2 linked regions of the Arabidopsis thaliana genome follow. The protein of the gene in region 2 interacts with the protein of the main gene of each other region in a pairwise test. Each region holds a gene or a part of one and is shown on either strand. Other genes may lie near its edges. The genes, in order: AT4G31330 and AT3G50940.

Region 1 (7,214 bases), on a different chromosome or scaffold from region 2:
CGTCTTTGCCCTGAACTTCCCGGGTTTTCTCATCGATTTGAGATTCTTCAAAACAAAACAAAAACAAAACATAAAGCTCAAACCCCAAAATTTGCATTCACCAAATAATCAAGCTATAACAAGCTCGAATCAGAACGGATTAGGCATTTCACAAATTCCACAAAACCATAGCAAGCAATTCGACATTGGGAACAAGTTAATACGATTCATATCTGAAATCGATCCAAAAGCTACTAATTTAAGTCAATGCTATAAGAACAGAGAAACACATCAAGTAGCTGAAACGGTAATTCTATCAGCGTCAGACCAATAACATGCGAACTCTGCAGATTCCGATTTCAAATACGAATCAAAGTCGAATAAAAATCAAAACTTCGCAATCATTCGATCAGATGGAAGAGTCTGAACAATGCAAGTCGGTAACTAACCTAGGGCACGGATCTTGGCATTAAGCTGATCCAGGTGGATCTTGGAAGAGCCATCGGATCCGGCAGCCTCAGAAACCTCCGGCTCATCAGCATCGGCGAAGACGCTGGTGGTGAAAAGCAAGGCAAGAAGTAACAAAGCGACGAGCTTCGCAGCCGCCATGTCTAAGATTCACCACCGTCGATCAACAAAAAGGGACGGAGATTCCAACGAACAAGAGAAACGTTTCCTCTCTGCTCTCTCACGATCTCTCTGTATATTTATGAAGGTGTGTTTTTGACCATGGACCGTAGAAATTTCTTAACCAGTAGGAAAAAAAGAAACAGCGTGCCAAGACGAGAGAGAGAGAGATAGATGGTACTAAACGTGAGGTAAATGGCTTCGTGGGTATGTCGTGACCGACGATGACACGCGGCATCCATCGGATCCACTTTTGTATTTTCACATTAATGACGTGGCGTAAATCCAATGGTTGATCCTTTTTGGGTAAAATATGACAACCAATTAACCAGTCGATATTATTATTATTGTCCTTTTTCGAAAGCAATTCAATCAGATCATCAAATTAATGACATTCATCTACTTGCCTGCTAACTAATCGTGGAGTACTAATTTTACTATATCCAGATTAAACCATTAGATATTCGATGCACCATTTAATTTCTCGTTAACTAAGCAACTTCTATTCTGAATTTTTCGATACTCGTTTTTTTAATTGCCTGAGAGCTAAGAATCTTTGTTTTTCTCTCCAAACAACACCGGCACGTTAACAATTTTATAAGTACGTATTATGTTATTACTATGCTTGATCCAACACAATTTGCCCTAATTTAAAAAGAATTTATGTAAAGGTTGGAATCACGATTCGCGATAGCTAAATCTATACGATTAATTGATTGGATCACAGAATCATGACAAATAAGTACCGCTGGATTATCAGAGATGTGTCTGGTCTATCGTTTGCTTTATGGCATTAACCAATTTATAATACTAGTTTTAACAAGACAAAAGTATAATTAATTAGCAACTACTCAATAATAATTATATGTACGTGGTACGTGGAGTTTGCCAACTCAAACCAGAAGCAATGACATTAACGTAATTCATCTTTTCATTAATTATAATCTCCGGTGTATAAAGCAAGGCCTAGTTGAAAATGCATATACTGATAATATTGAAAATGTATATTATTAATATACTCCAAAGTTCTCCAACGTTGCGGTCTCATCAAATCATCAGCCTCACAAATGTTTTGTTCTTCTCTAAGTTTCCCAAAAAAAAAAAAAAGGGGATGAAGTTCGATTATAGTCTATGATTCACAGGTGTTCAAAAAAAGGACAGAAAAAAGTCTCATTAAACCCAAAAAAAAAAAAGATTATAGTTTATGATTTCTTATAAGTTATATATTAGTAAAAAAGAATTACAGGTGAGTAAATGATCAAACACAAAACAGTCCAGTGATCTTCCAAACTTGATGTTGTATTTGAGTTTTGTTAAATCATTACAGAGATGTCTATCATCGTAATCCTTCGCTTTGAGCTCCTACTTCAATTCTTCAAAAGTGCAAATGCCTTCATCATCTCTTGACATTTATTTTTATAAAAAGGCTTGAAGAAAAAGAGAAAAATATCACATGCCTAACAGGCCACAGTTTATAATTTTATTAGATTTAGGCCCACTTAAGGACAGCCCATGGTACTTTTGCCAACAGTTTAATTGGCTATCTCTATGATATATCTCTGGCTATCTCGTTGTTAAATGGTCAGTAGCTATTATCCATGAAATTTGTGTATCAACGGATAGTCACGAGTAAGTTATTTAGCAACTGTCGTTTAGCTATTTAGCTACGTACGAAACTAAAGTTTTAACTACGAAAATTTTCATCACTAAAATTGTATTTGTTTGTAGCATGAAATAGCTTTTTGTTTACCTAATCTAAACCAAAATTGAAAATATATATATGAAAAATAGAGTTAGTTAACATACAATGATACAATTTTAATCTAGGCGAACATGGGCTTCAGAACTAGATTCGGATATAATTAGCTAACATCATAATCTGAATTGTCATCTCTAAACGAGTTCTAAACAGTTTGATTTCATACTACACAGAAAAATAACCGTGTAGGTATATTTCTACATTGTCTTAGGGAGGATTTAAATAGCCTCGTGACGACTGGTTCCTAACACATAACATAACAACAAAACTTAATAAGACAGATACTAATGCACGGAATAGATGTGAACATCACATTTTTTGTCCCGTTTCTTGCCCAACGTAAGCCACATGCATATAAACACTAACAGAAAAAGAAAAAGAAAAAAGAGAAACGTACATACCAAGAGAGCTGTGAGATATGCTGATACGTTATAAAGTCACCCACATGGAAATGCCAATAATAACGCTCAATAAACCAAAACGTGACATATATTACACCACACCAAATACATACGGCCGAAAAACCCTAATATATGAAAATTATAATGCGTTATTTAATTACATTTTTTTTTCTTAATCGGAAGATCTAGAATTGAAACCTAAACTATGATCTTCGAACTTTTCAACTTCCATGTAAAGTCCTCATGCGTTCATCGGTAGTCCAGGATTTAACAAAGAGGACGATGATATCACTTAATTACAAATCACTTGTTCTACTGACCAGAACTCGATTTTACACAGATCCAAAACTAGACTTTTGATCAAGTTTTCTTCTTTCTTTACCGAAGAAGAAGAAATCGAGGTTGTAAAGTAGAGGAACCATCACGACCGAGCACAAAAACACAAGCACCGGTCCAAATATCCAAAGCATCAACGGCAAAGCCGCGTAGAACAACCGATTCCCCACAGTATTCAAAATAAACCCTCTCTCTAGCAACTCCGCCACGTACTCCTCCGCGGTCATCATCATCTCGTCCTCCAACTCCTCAGGAGGAAAAGGAGTGTTGATGAGGATGTTAACTTGGTTGATGAAACGAATTGAGAGAGAGTGAGAGAAGAAGGAGAAGAGGAATATGGTGAGTATCGTGACGTACTTGAGAGCCACCATGAACTCTCCGCGAGCTCCAAAAACAGCGTCGTTTAGAGGCTTCTTCACTGCATATGTGCTGCTTAAAACCGCAGCTAGACCAGCGCAGAGGAGGATCGATGTTGTTGCCATCAAAGTCGACCCCATTATGCAGTTTCTAAGCGTTTGAACGGCCAAGATGTTCTTCTTGTCGTTGTCCTAATTTAATCAAATACATAAAATTAAAATCATATATTTATGTGTGTGAAGATGTTTATATAAGAAAATTGAAGTTACCTTGATGATGGAAGCGACCCAGAATCGGCGAGCTCTAGCGTTAGTGCCGATGATAGTGGTGAGAGGCTGTGTTCGTAACTTATGCCACAAGTAAACATGGTAAGATGCATACACCATTAGCCCTAGCGGCACCAATATCACATCTAAATAACATTCTCTCCATTCCATTTCTATCTTCTAAACTTATCCAAGTTCTATCTTCTTTTTATGAAGCCGTTTTCTATATGACTTCTTGGAAGGTTTAAAGACCCTATTTATAAGAAAAATTATAATGAAACACTAACCAAATAATTTAAAATAATTGTTTTTTTTTAATTTTATTTTTTGATAATGAATCGGATAAAAAAAATTTGTTTTTTTGAGAAATGACATAAAGGTGGATGGAGAGGGATGACGTGGCATATATTTGTCCTTTTGTTCGCCATTGTTATTTCCAAAGTGATCTCTCTCTCTTTTTTTCTTCTTCTTTGTCAACAAGTGATCTCTAGTTGGAGCCCATATCATAGTATATATAATTCTTGCACGCTTTTGATTTCTGTCTTCTACCATTTCTTTTGCTTTCTTCTTCTAGTCATATATATTTGCTTTTTTAAAAGGCCTATGTTAATCATGTATCATGTTTATGTAGCCGTCAAGTAAAAGTTTATGGTATTCCAACAAAATAGATGTTGTGTGATTATGTTTTAATAGATGGATGTTTACAACTTATGTAAAATTCGTGACATTTTTATTGAATAAACTGCACTAGATTTATTCATTTTTAGTTATTGATAGTGTAGTGTAATAGATAGCAATTAATTTAGAAGATTAGCTATTCGTACTACTAAAAGTCTAAAACTATCCCCTTTTTTGTATACTACATAACTTGAATAAAATCTCAACACTTAAACTTTATCATCCTCCTTCAGTAGACTTTTTTTTTTTAATCATTTTATCAGATAGCTAATCATTTTCATTTCATTTTCTAGTAAAGTATTCTTCTAATTCTAGCTATGAACATATCTATTATGAATTTATGATCTAGATATTCTTGAAAGGATATCAACATGATGTATGTATCTATGTATACATTAATAACATATGCATCACGTTGAAACGTATTCATGTGACATACAATAAAATTTCGAAACAAATAGTCGGGCTTCTTTCCTAATACCTGGTGAATCCGACAGATAAATGTTGATAGACAACACTAATATATCTTCTTCTTCTTTTTTTTTTTTTTTTTTTTTTTTTTTTTTTTTGTCAAAAACACTAATATATCTTACAAATTAAATGATATTATATATACTATGGAAATGGAGCAATAAAAAATCTGCCAATAAGTAACTAGTAGTACTGCATAATTTCTCGAGGATACAAAATGAGTGAAATCTGACGAGGACCATATACAGATATTGTGGGTGATTATCATATATGAGATAAGACACAGACATGAGATGAGGCTGACCTTTAACCATCGCCGATTAGTTTCATGCATCCCTCTCATCATGACTAAGTTTAATTGGTTTTGGGTGTTTCATTCACTATCGTCCTTCACGTTGGAATTCTAGCTGTTACTTCCACAATTCACACTAACTTATCTCTTTTTGGTGTTTTTAAATCTTTTAAATATTACAATTTTGTGTGGAGTAAGCGCTACAAAGAGACGGTAATTAATAACATTTATAGAGCCCCAGAATATAGGGTTTTGGATTTATCTCAAAGTATAACTTTTGTTTTCTATCTAAATCAGATGTATATAGCAAATCACCAATATCAGGTGAAAAATTTAATACCTAATAACTTTTTTTTGTTGTAATTAAGAGATTCTAAGCCAAAATTCGTACATTTCTTTAGATTCGGATAAGCTTTTAAAACCTTTACTCGGACTAATGGACTATGGTACTTTTCCAATCGAGCAATCCCATATTTCATAAATTCAAATATTCACTGTATCTGTATGTTCATTTTTTATATATGATATTCAGATATCTTGAATCCTATATCTTAGATATATTTTAAGACAAGCACATTTAGGTATTTAAGTACTTTCGATCGAATGTTTGGTTATTCTTATTCCGTTGCATCATTACATGCATGAATGACCGATCCTCTTGAAAAATTCTTCCACTTTCCAAACGCAGAAAAAATGAATGGGCATATTTATTTCATTTATGACAGCATTGCAATGAACATTCTATTAAAACGAATGACATTATTCATCTAATAAATTGCATTTTTTTACAAAAACTACCAGTTAATTCTTAAATGAATAACAAGAATTGTTCCGGTTTAAATGAAAAGGGGCCAGTTTGTTTAGTCATTTTGATGAATTGGTTTAACTTTGGTTCTGTTTTATCCATGCTTGTGGTTATACTTACATGATTCTAATTATCTTGAAAGTATTTTAGCTGTAGAAATGGACTGATTTTTTGAATCTGTCATTGCTATATTTGACGAATCAAAATGAGAATAAAGTAAAAATAGAGATGCAATAATTGTTTAAGAGTGTCAAGCTTAATTTTGTTGTGACGTTCTTGGACGGGAAGTGCGGCTTGGTTCCTAATTTGAGTCCTTTGTAATTCAAACTTGATAGTGCTCCTTCTTTATATCCTCATTAGTTAGAACTAAAGGAAACTTCAAAAGCTAGATCAATCATCGAGGAATATATATATTGGGTTCTTTAATAATTTCAAAATGTATTATTTATAGAGCACTATAGTTTCTTGAATAGGCAAGTTGGCTGCGTTCTTGTTATTATTTGGACGTAGTTTTTTCATATCAATGTTTGTGATTGTTTTCACTAAAACTGTTTCATCATATCCTGTCAAATTGTGTGACGTGAATTTTATGCATCACATAATGAACAAGAAAAACTATTATCATGACATATATACGATCGGTGACACAAACGATATAATATTTTTGAAGGATGTATAAAAAAGTGATAAACAATACTGGAATAGTTAAAAGCGGTAAGAAAAAATCGCAAATATAAACTTATTACTTAAAATTTTACCAAAAAAAAATAAATCTTATTATAGACAATTTCACATATGTGATATATACAAGTATATATATATATATATTTTTTTTTTATAAAGAGACACATATTTAGAACACAAGGGTTAATTATAGCACATGTCTATGATTAATCATATATAGTAGCATAAGATGTTTGTCTTTAATGCGTACGTGTCAGATTTATAGATATGTAGCATAAAATCGTGAATAAATAAATCTGAAGATTTGCTTACTAAGCTAAACTAAACGATGTGTCGTTGTATACCTTTTTTTAGATACTTGTCCCTCACTAGACAAATTCCTTTGCTGCCTCGTCCCATAAGCAATGTGCTCCTAAGTATCTTTATATACCAACGAAGTGATTGGATTATACATTCGGTTCATATCTATTCTGAGAGGACTAGAGTTTGTTTTTTAGAGTGTGCTTATCTTAAAGATCATCAAATACGCAAATACTATGCATTCCAGCAGGAAAAAAAA
Region 2 (7,775 bases):
CGTTACAATCTCCTTGCCAACATCCTCTAGCTCGGGACGCTCACAAGTACCGTCATTTGCTGCAAATGCCACATTACAAAACAGCAGCCAACTGTTATCAGGACTAAGGAGCTCTGGACGGTGAGTCTTGTCGTCTCTCGCTTGCACCCTTTTCGCTACAGATTCCGACCTTGTGGTCACGATAACGCTACCTCCTTGTCCTCTAGGCAGTCCTTGGTAGATCTTGTCCCACCAGCTCAAATTCTTGTCCCATACATCGTCCATAACTATCAAGTACCTTTTCCCCAAAAGATACTGCTGGATTTTTCTCAGCAATGTTCCAATATCATCTCCAACACTCGCGTCCCCCAAGTTCCTCAATATGCTTCTCATGATCTGTTCTTCAGTAAAAGTCTGGGACACAGACACCCATATCCTTCTTTCGAAACGATGTTCGATCTCTTTGTCATTGAACACTTCTTGAGCGATTGTAGTTTTACCTAGCCCTCCCATCCCAACAAAGGCCATTATCAAAAGCTGGCTGTCGTTTGATCGAAAGAGCCACTCCTTGATTTTTCTTTTATCTCCTTCCAAACCAACCACCTGAGTATGATCATACACCGGAGAGCTCCACCGATCAGTTCCATTATCTCTTCCAACATTACTCGGCGTTATGAATTCGAAATAAGGCTCTACTTGACTCTTTATTTTCGTTATCCTCTCATTGATCTCTTGCAAACGTTTGCTTTTCTTGTACTGCAACGGAACCCGGGCAGGATGAAGCCGCGAAAGCCACGCATTTGATGACCTTTGCTCGTTCCCATCATCACCATCCGCGAGCTGACAATCCACAAGTATATCCTCAGCTTCGTAAACCAGTTCTCGTAAATCCGCAACAAGAGTACGCAACGTTTCATTAGTTCTCTTCTGCCTCTCTGCATCCTTGAGAAAAGACTGCATATATTTCAATTCGCTTTGCAAATCTTCCAACTGTTTTCGGTAGTCCGATACGGTTCGGCCTTTTTCTTCGAGGATGTTCAAGGTTTTCTCTAAAAACACTGTTACAACAGCGTCCACCATTTACTCAGACCCTGCAACTTCAAGAAATATCTCTAATTGGTAAACTATAACCAAGCAATAATTCAATCGGTTATGTGTATCATCACTAGATTGAACTTTCCAAAAATCAATCAACCAACGACTATAGAATCTCAATAACCAAAAGATTGGATTATTCTTTAACTAATCCATATCTTCTCAAGAAACATGTAGAATCCTAGAACATTGAAACAAATCTAACCAAAGTAAAGTAAACTTACAAGGTTGTGACTTAGCCTTAGCCGAGAAGGATCTGAAGCTTCAGATCTTTGGATTTTTTTAGCAAAACTTGTTTCAGAAAAATGAGCTTACATAGAGACTTTATCGAAATTGAAGTCAATGGTTTAACAAGTCAAGAGTCAACCTTACTCGTTTTCTTGGTTACTGCTGCCGACTACGAAACTTGTCTCAATCTACTTTAGAATCTTATCATTGAGTTTAGACATGTTCTGACCTCATAAAACAATATCCGCATTTCACTTAGGAAAAAAAAAAATGATTTCACTTTCTGTAACATTTTATAACCAATAATTGCATGATAGTGTTTAACAAAGAAACAAATAAAAGAACTAAATTTCTTCTAAGCTTTTGAATTATCTATTTGCTTCTTGGCTTTTAAGAACTCAACAAGTCCTTGGAGTACTTTATCCACAGAGTCACTCCTCATCAGTTGTTCAGCTACTTCTGCTGGTGTAACTTCAATTTCTCGGATAAATTCTTCAATCTGCTCGAAAAGTATATGATCTTGAATCTCGAGATAATTCGAAGCCAAAACCTTAAAAGCAGCTGGTGTGCAATACGACATGTGAATGTGCATGTCCATACGTCCTGGCCTCAACAATGCTGGATCCAATTTTTCTCTGTAGTTAGTCGTAAACACTATAATCCGCTCGTTACCACAACTTGACCATAGTCCGTCTACAAAATTCAATAGACCAGAGAGTGTGACCTGAAAATGACTAACCAAAACATTAGTAATGCTAATAAGCAAAAGATCACATAACAACATAACTGATAGTGAATCAAAATGCATCACCGTTTTATGTAACGGATCGTTGTTTTCTTGATCAGTAGACCGATCTTTTAACTCGATTGAACAATCTATATCTTCCACAACTAGAATGGAACGATTTGCAGTAGACATAAGTAACCTCCGTAGCTCAGCATTGTTGTTAAGTGATGTCAAGTCTAAGTCATAGATATCGAAGTTAAGATGATTAGCTATAGCTGCGATCAAGCTTGATTTTCCAGTACCGGGAGGACCATACAACAAATAACCTCTCTTCCAAGCTTTTCCAACTCTCCCGTAAAAGCCTTTCCGCTGCACGAATCGATCAAGATCCTCCACCAAGTTTTTCTTCACCTCGGGATCCAGAGCGAGAGTGCGAAACGTGGAAGGATGATCTAGAGTCACAGAGGTCCACTCCACGGAGTAAGAATCAACGGTGAAGATCTTCAATGTTTTAAACTTTTGTTTAATAGAAGCAGCTTGTTCCACAACAAACGGTAAATAAGATTCAAGAACCATGTTCTTGAACTTCTTTCGGAAACTAAGCTCGTAACTACGCACTTCTGATTTCAAAGTGGAGTTGAGATCTCTCGGGTTACGAAAATCCTTTTTATCGACATGGCGACATACAAGGATCCAACTAAGCTTGACGCCATCAAAAATATCAACAACTTCCTCATCACGTTCAACAGTAACACTATAATTGCTCTGTTTCTCAAGTTTGTTAACTTTGATTCTTCTAGTGGAATTAGATATCTTGGTGGAGAGATAAGCCTCTGCAGCTTCAAACACTTGGTTGTGTTCAAAACCTCCAAATTCTTCTATTACAGCTGTCATCTGATAAGAGAAGTAGCTGAAGAATCTGCGAAAGCCGTGAGAGATATATTCATGAACCTCGTTTGGCATGTAATCTTGAACCACTGATCGAGCTAGTATTGCGGCTGCAGCAACTGATGCAACCGCTGTGAGAGCTGTTTTGGCGGTGGCTAGATGAGATTCACTAGAGGAACTCATCTCCTTCAATCATCAAAAATAAAATAAATACATTCAAGTCGGTTCTCATAAATCAAAGAGACAAGAAACTAATCCAAAAAAAAATCTGATTATAGAACAATAGTACTGTATTTGTTACTAGGTTACGTGGGGATAAATCTGATTAGGTTAAACAAACGATGCTATTCTTTTGATAATTTTACGATGAGCACACAAATTGGAATCTTAACAAGTAAAAAAAAAAAAATGTTAAGGTTAAGGAGAAAATTTGATACCAGTTCTTCTCTTTTATTTGATGAAAGGCTTCTGCGATCAATAATAAATTTTCACGAATACCTCTGATCATAAGATTGAGATAATTAGGGAATGAAAGATTACTATTTAAATGGTGATGGAACACTAAATGAATGGTCTATAGTGGGCCAAGATTACGGCCCATTTGATAAAGTATCGTTAAAAATGAAAACTTGATAGCCCCTACAGACTTCTAGAGTCTGGTCGCTGGCTCGCTGCAAAAATGCAAAGTCTTTGCTCCTTAACATATATGCTGACTTGTCTTTTATACTTGAAAATTGTAATAGTAGTTTTAATGTTAGAATGACATGTTAGCAAAATATTTACTTTCTTGAAAAGTAATTTTTTCTTTGTTGAAAATAATTTGGATTATATTTCGATTTATGCGTGTCTTATGCGGACTATACTAATCTTTTATGTATCGTTCCAATTTTAATAGATGTTCTTCGAGACAACATTTTGGAAAATATTTCTAAGAAGATTGTTTTATTTTTGATGATTCTTTACAAAATATCTAATAATTGGGTTTTTTCAAGTTCATATATGTTTCTGCATCCTTTGTTTGATTTTTTTCTTTGTTGATTTAACTATGCTTGTGTTTAAATTACTATAGTGCTTACCCAATAGTAATTCAAATATCTCTCATTTGACTTAATGATATTAACTAATATAGAATCTAAAAAATAAAACATTATGAAACAAAATCTAGAAAATATTTTTTTATGAACCGGAGGAACTAATGTAAGATATTAGACTAATACCAAGGTTTAGTTATAATAATTTTCAAAGTATAATTATGCTATATAAAAAAATTATGGTAGAAAAAATCTCGTTCGATAAAACAAAACTAAAGAGAAAAACATGCAAAACGATATTTCTTCTAAGCTAGCGTCTTGAAGGTAGAAGGATGGTTAAGAGTAACAGAGGTCCATGGGTCTGATGAGTACCAGTAATCTGTGTCGAGAGTGAAGAGCTTGGGCGTTTTCTTCTCTTTTATTCACCTTTTTTTGCATTAACCAATAAAAATATGTTATAAATCCTATTTAAATTACATAATAAATTAAAGCTATAATTATAATCCAAACCGATATAAAATCTCGTTTAATTACAAAATCTAAACTCTAATTTTCCTTTATAAATCCAAACCGCTATTTAAACTCATTTAATCGTAAGAAAACTAAACTTTAATCGTATTTTCTAAACCCAAACCGACATTTAACCTCGTTTAATTGTAAAATCTAAATCTGTTTATAAAACTAAACCAATATTTAACCCATTTAATCAGAAAATCTAAACTCTAATCGTACTTTCTAAACCCAAACTGATATTTAACCTCGTTTAATCATAAAATCTAAACCCTAATTTTTTCTAATAAACCCAAACCGATACATAATTTTGTTTTAGTGGCAAATTAGATTTTATAATTAACTTTCTATTATTGTTATTAGGTGTCCGATTTTAATTAGGTAAAATAAAAGAAGTTAATATAAAGTTCATTCAAATATTTTTCTTTATTTATTTGTAAAGCATCTAGGACTGACGAAAAAAAAAAAGCATCTAGGATTAGGAGTCAAAGACAAAAATAAATATAAACACGAAAAAGGAAATAACTCGAAAAGGAAATGACATTTAAAAGCCCAATTTTAAGGAAAAATAGAAATTGAGGAAAAGGAAGAAGATCAATTATACATCTACAAAGAAAGGAAGAAAATTAAAACATGTACGGCCCATTTAATAATAGTATTGACTAAACGAATTGTGTAGTGGTGCCAAAATTTTGGCCCACTTAATTAGTGTCAATTCCTTTTCTCGATACAAGGAAGGAATCATTGAGATTTTCTTTTTTGTCGGAATCATTGAGATTTTCAATTTCACAAATGTGGCTTGAAGATATTATTTTATCGGTGAGATAAAAAAAAATCAACTGTCATAAATTAAGATTCGGAAAGTTAAAATTTAACCTTTTTTTTTTTGTCGGCAAACTTTTTTTTTAGTAGCTTAAAACAAATTGTGCTAAAAAAAGTTAGAAAAAAAACAGAGAGAAAAAACAAGCTAAACGCATAGTTTTGTATAAATACACGTGCTCTTCTCTTTACAGCTACCACTCGGATGCAGAGGTGTTTTATCTGATCTCCTCAATTTTTTCCCTTTTTTGGTCTCAATCTCTCTAAGATTATTTTATCTTAGGACTAGGTTTATAAATGAATCTGTAGATTATAGACAGTAACTGGCGATTTAATGATTTAGGTATTGATATCTCACAAGTTAATGTTGTTCAACCTCCTCATGTTTGGCTTTATCTTGGTCGTCCTCGATCTTCTTGGCTTTTAACAACTCGACCAAACCCTCAAGAACCTTATCAACACGGTCATTCCTCACTAGCTGTTCATCAACCTCTTTCTTGACTACGGAATCTGTTCCCTCCTTGGTCTTTTTCTTGTTCTCCAACTCTTGCTTCTCTGTTTTGGCCTTATCTTGTTCGTTTTCGATCTTCTTGACTTTCAAGAACTCAATCAAACCCTCAAGAACCTTGTCTACAGAGTCATTTCTCATAAGCTGTTCAGCTACTTCTGCTGGAGTGACCTCTGTCGCCTCAATACCTTCCTCGATCTTGCTGAAAAGGCGGTGCTCTTTGATCTCAAGATAGTTCAAAGCAAGAGCTTTGAAAGTACTTGGTGTGCAATACGACATGTGGATGTGCATATCCATACGTCCTGGTCTCAGCAAGGCCGCGTCGAGTTTCTCTTTGTAATTGGTTGTGAAGATTATGATCCTTTCGTCACCGCAGCTTGACCATAGACCATCTATGAAATTCAACAGTCCAGAGAGTGTCACTTTTTTATACCGTGGATCTTCTATATCGTCAGATTCCCGAGGAGGTTCATCGCTAGTCCTATCTTTCAATTCTAGTGAACAATCGATATCTTCTACGATAAGAATCGAACGATTAGCAGTGGCAATCAATAATCGCCGGAGCTCAGAATTGTTGTTAACCGCGGTCAACTCTAGGTCGTATATATCAAAGTTGAGATGATTGGCCATGGCTGCGATCAAGCTTGACTTCCCTGTGCCTGGTGGACCGTACAGCAAGTAACCTCTCTTCCAAGCTTTACCAACCCTTTTATAGAAGTCTCTTCGCTTTACGAATTTGTCTAGATCTTCCATCACACTTGTCTTGACATCTGAATCCATTGCTAGAGTTTTGAAGGTAGAAGGATGGTCAAGAGTAACAGAGGTCCACGCGTCAGAGTAGTTCCCATACATGTTTTCTGGGGAGAGAGTGAAGATCTTGAGTGTTTTCTTCTCTTGCTTCATCAACGTGGCTCTTTTCACCATGAATGGCAAGTAAGATTCAAGAGCTACGTCTTTGAATTTCTTGTGGAAGTTGAGTTCGAATGATCGGACCTCAGATCTCAGTGTGGAGTTTAGATCCCGTGGGTTGTGGAAGTGCTTGGACTCGACATGACGACAATGGAGGATCCACTGGAATTTGACGCCATTGTAGGTGTCAACAACTTCTTCGTCACGCTCCACGGTGACATTGTAGTTGTTTTCTTTCTCATGTTTACTCACTTTGATTCTTTTGTTAGAAGGAGAGATCTTGGTGGCTAGATAGGCCTCTGCAGCTTCAAAGACTTCATTGTGAGCAAAACCTTCAAATTCTTCGATGATTATCGTCATTTGGGATGAGAAGTAACCAAAGATGGAACGGAATCCATAGGAAATGTAGTGATGCACCTCGTCAGGCAAATAATCTTGGACTAAAGATCGAGCTAGCATTGCGGTCGCAGCCACCGAAGCCGCGGTGGTGAGAACCGTCTTAGCCGTGGCTAGACGGGATTCGGCGGAAGAAGAGTCAGAGGAGCTCATCTTGTTTTGGGTGTATTTGTGTTTTTTGAGTTTTGTTAAACCCAAAATCTCATAATTTATATATAATTGGTGGGAGGTGGGAACCGGAGACTTATGGACGCAAGGAAGTAGCTTGGATCCTTCCATCGCTACAACGTGGAAGTTGCTAACTAATATATAGAATAACAAAAAGAAAGAAGAAGAATAGAAAAGTAGAGTTTAAGTGGGCTCCAATGACTTGTTCATGAGGTTTATTTGACTAATCGAAAAGAATATTAGTAAAGAAAGACTGACTTAACGTGTGGGTCACGCTTCTTGTAATTTAAAGTCATTTCCTTTCAATAAATCCAAGAACAGTTAATATTTGTATGTATATATACATCACAATTGTATACTACTATCAAATCAATTCCACCAGATTCTTAAAACGTCCTTGTCTATATGATATTTCAGCTGTTGTGTGCTTGCGTCAAGATAGAGAGGACATTCATATATCCATCTCTCTCTTTTGTATCATTGGACAATAATGCAAAAATGCTAAACCCTAAAATAG

The links.
Region 1: the proteins of AT3G50940 (region 2) and AT4G31330 interact in a protein complementation assay, tested with the Arabidopsis thaliana proteins (one large-scale study listed by BioGRID).

The regions. Positions count from the first base shown.
Region 1 is NC_003075.7:15,199,036-15,206,249, reverse strand, and holds AT4G31330 (transmembrane protein, putative (Protein of unknown function, DUF599)), read right to left. Parts: upstream 3,963-7,214; 5' UTR 3,897-3,962; coding exon 3,729-3,896; intron 3,651-3,728; coding exon 3,099-3,650; 3' UTR 2,688-3,098; downstream 1-2,687. Other genes in the region: AT4G31340 (myosin heavy chain-like protein), read right to left, coding at 1-45, 429-588.
Region 2 is NC_003074.8:18,929,411-18,937,185, reverse strand, and holds AT3G50940 (P-loop containing nucleoside triphosphate hydrolases superfamily protein), read right to left. Parts: upstream 3,436-7,775; 5' UTR 3,355-3,435; intron 3,104-3,354; 5' UTR 3,101-3,103; coding exon 2,114-3,100; intron 2,027-2,113; coding exon 1,658-2,026; 3' UTR 1,575-1,657; downstream 1-1,574. Other genes in the region: ZAR1 (HOPZ-ACTIVATED RESISTANCE 1), read right to left, coding at 1-1,059; BCS1 (cytochrome BC1 synthesi), read right to left, coding at 5,639-7,369.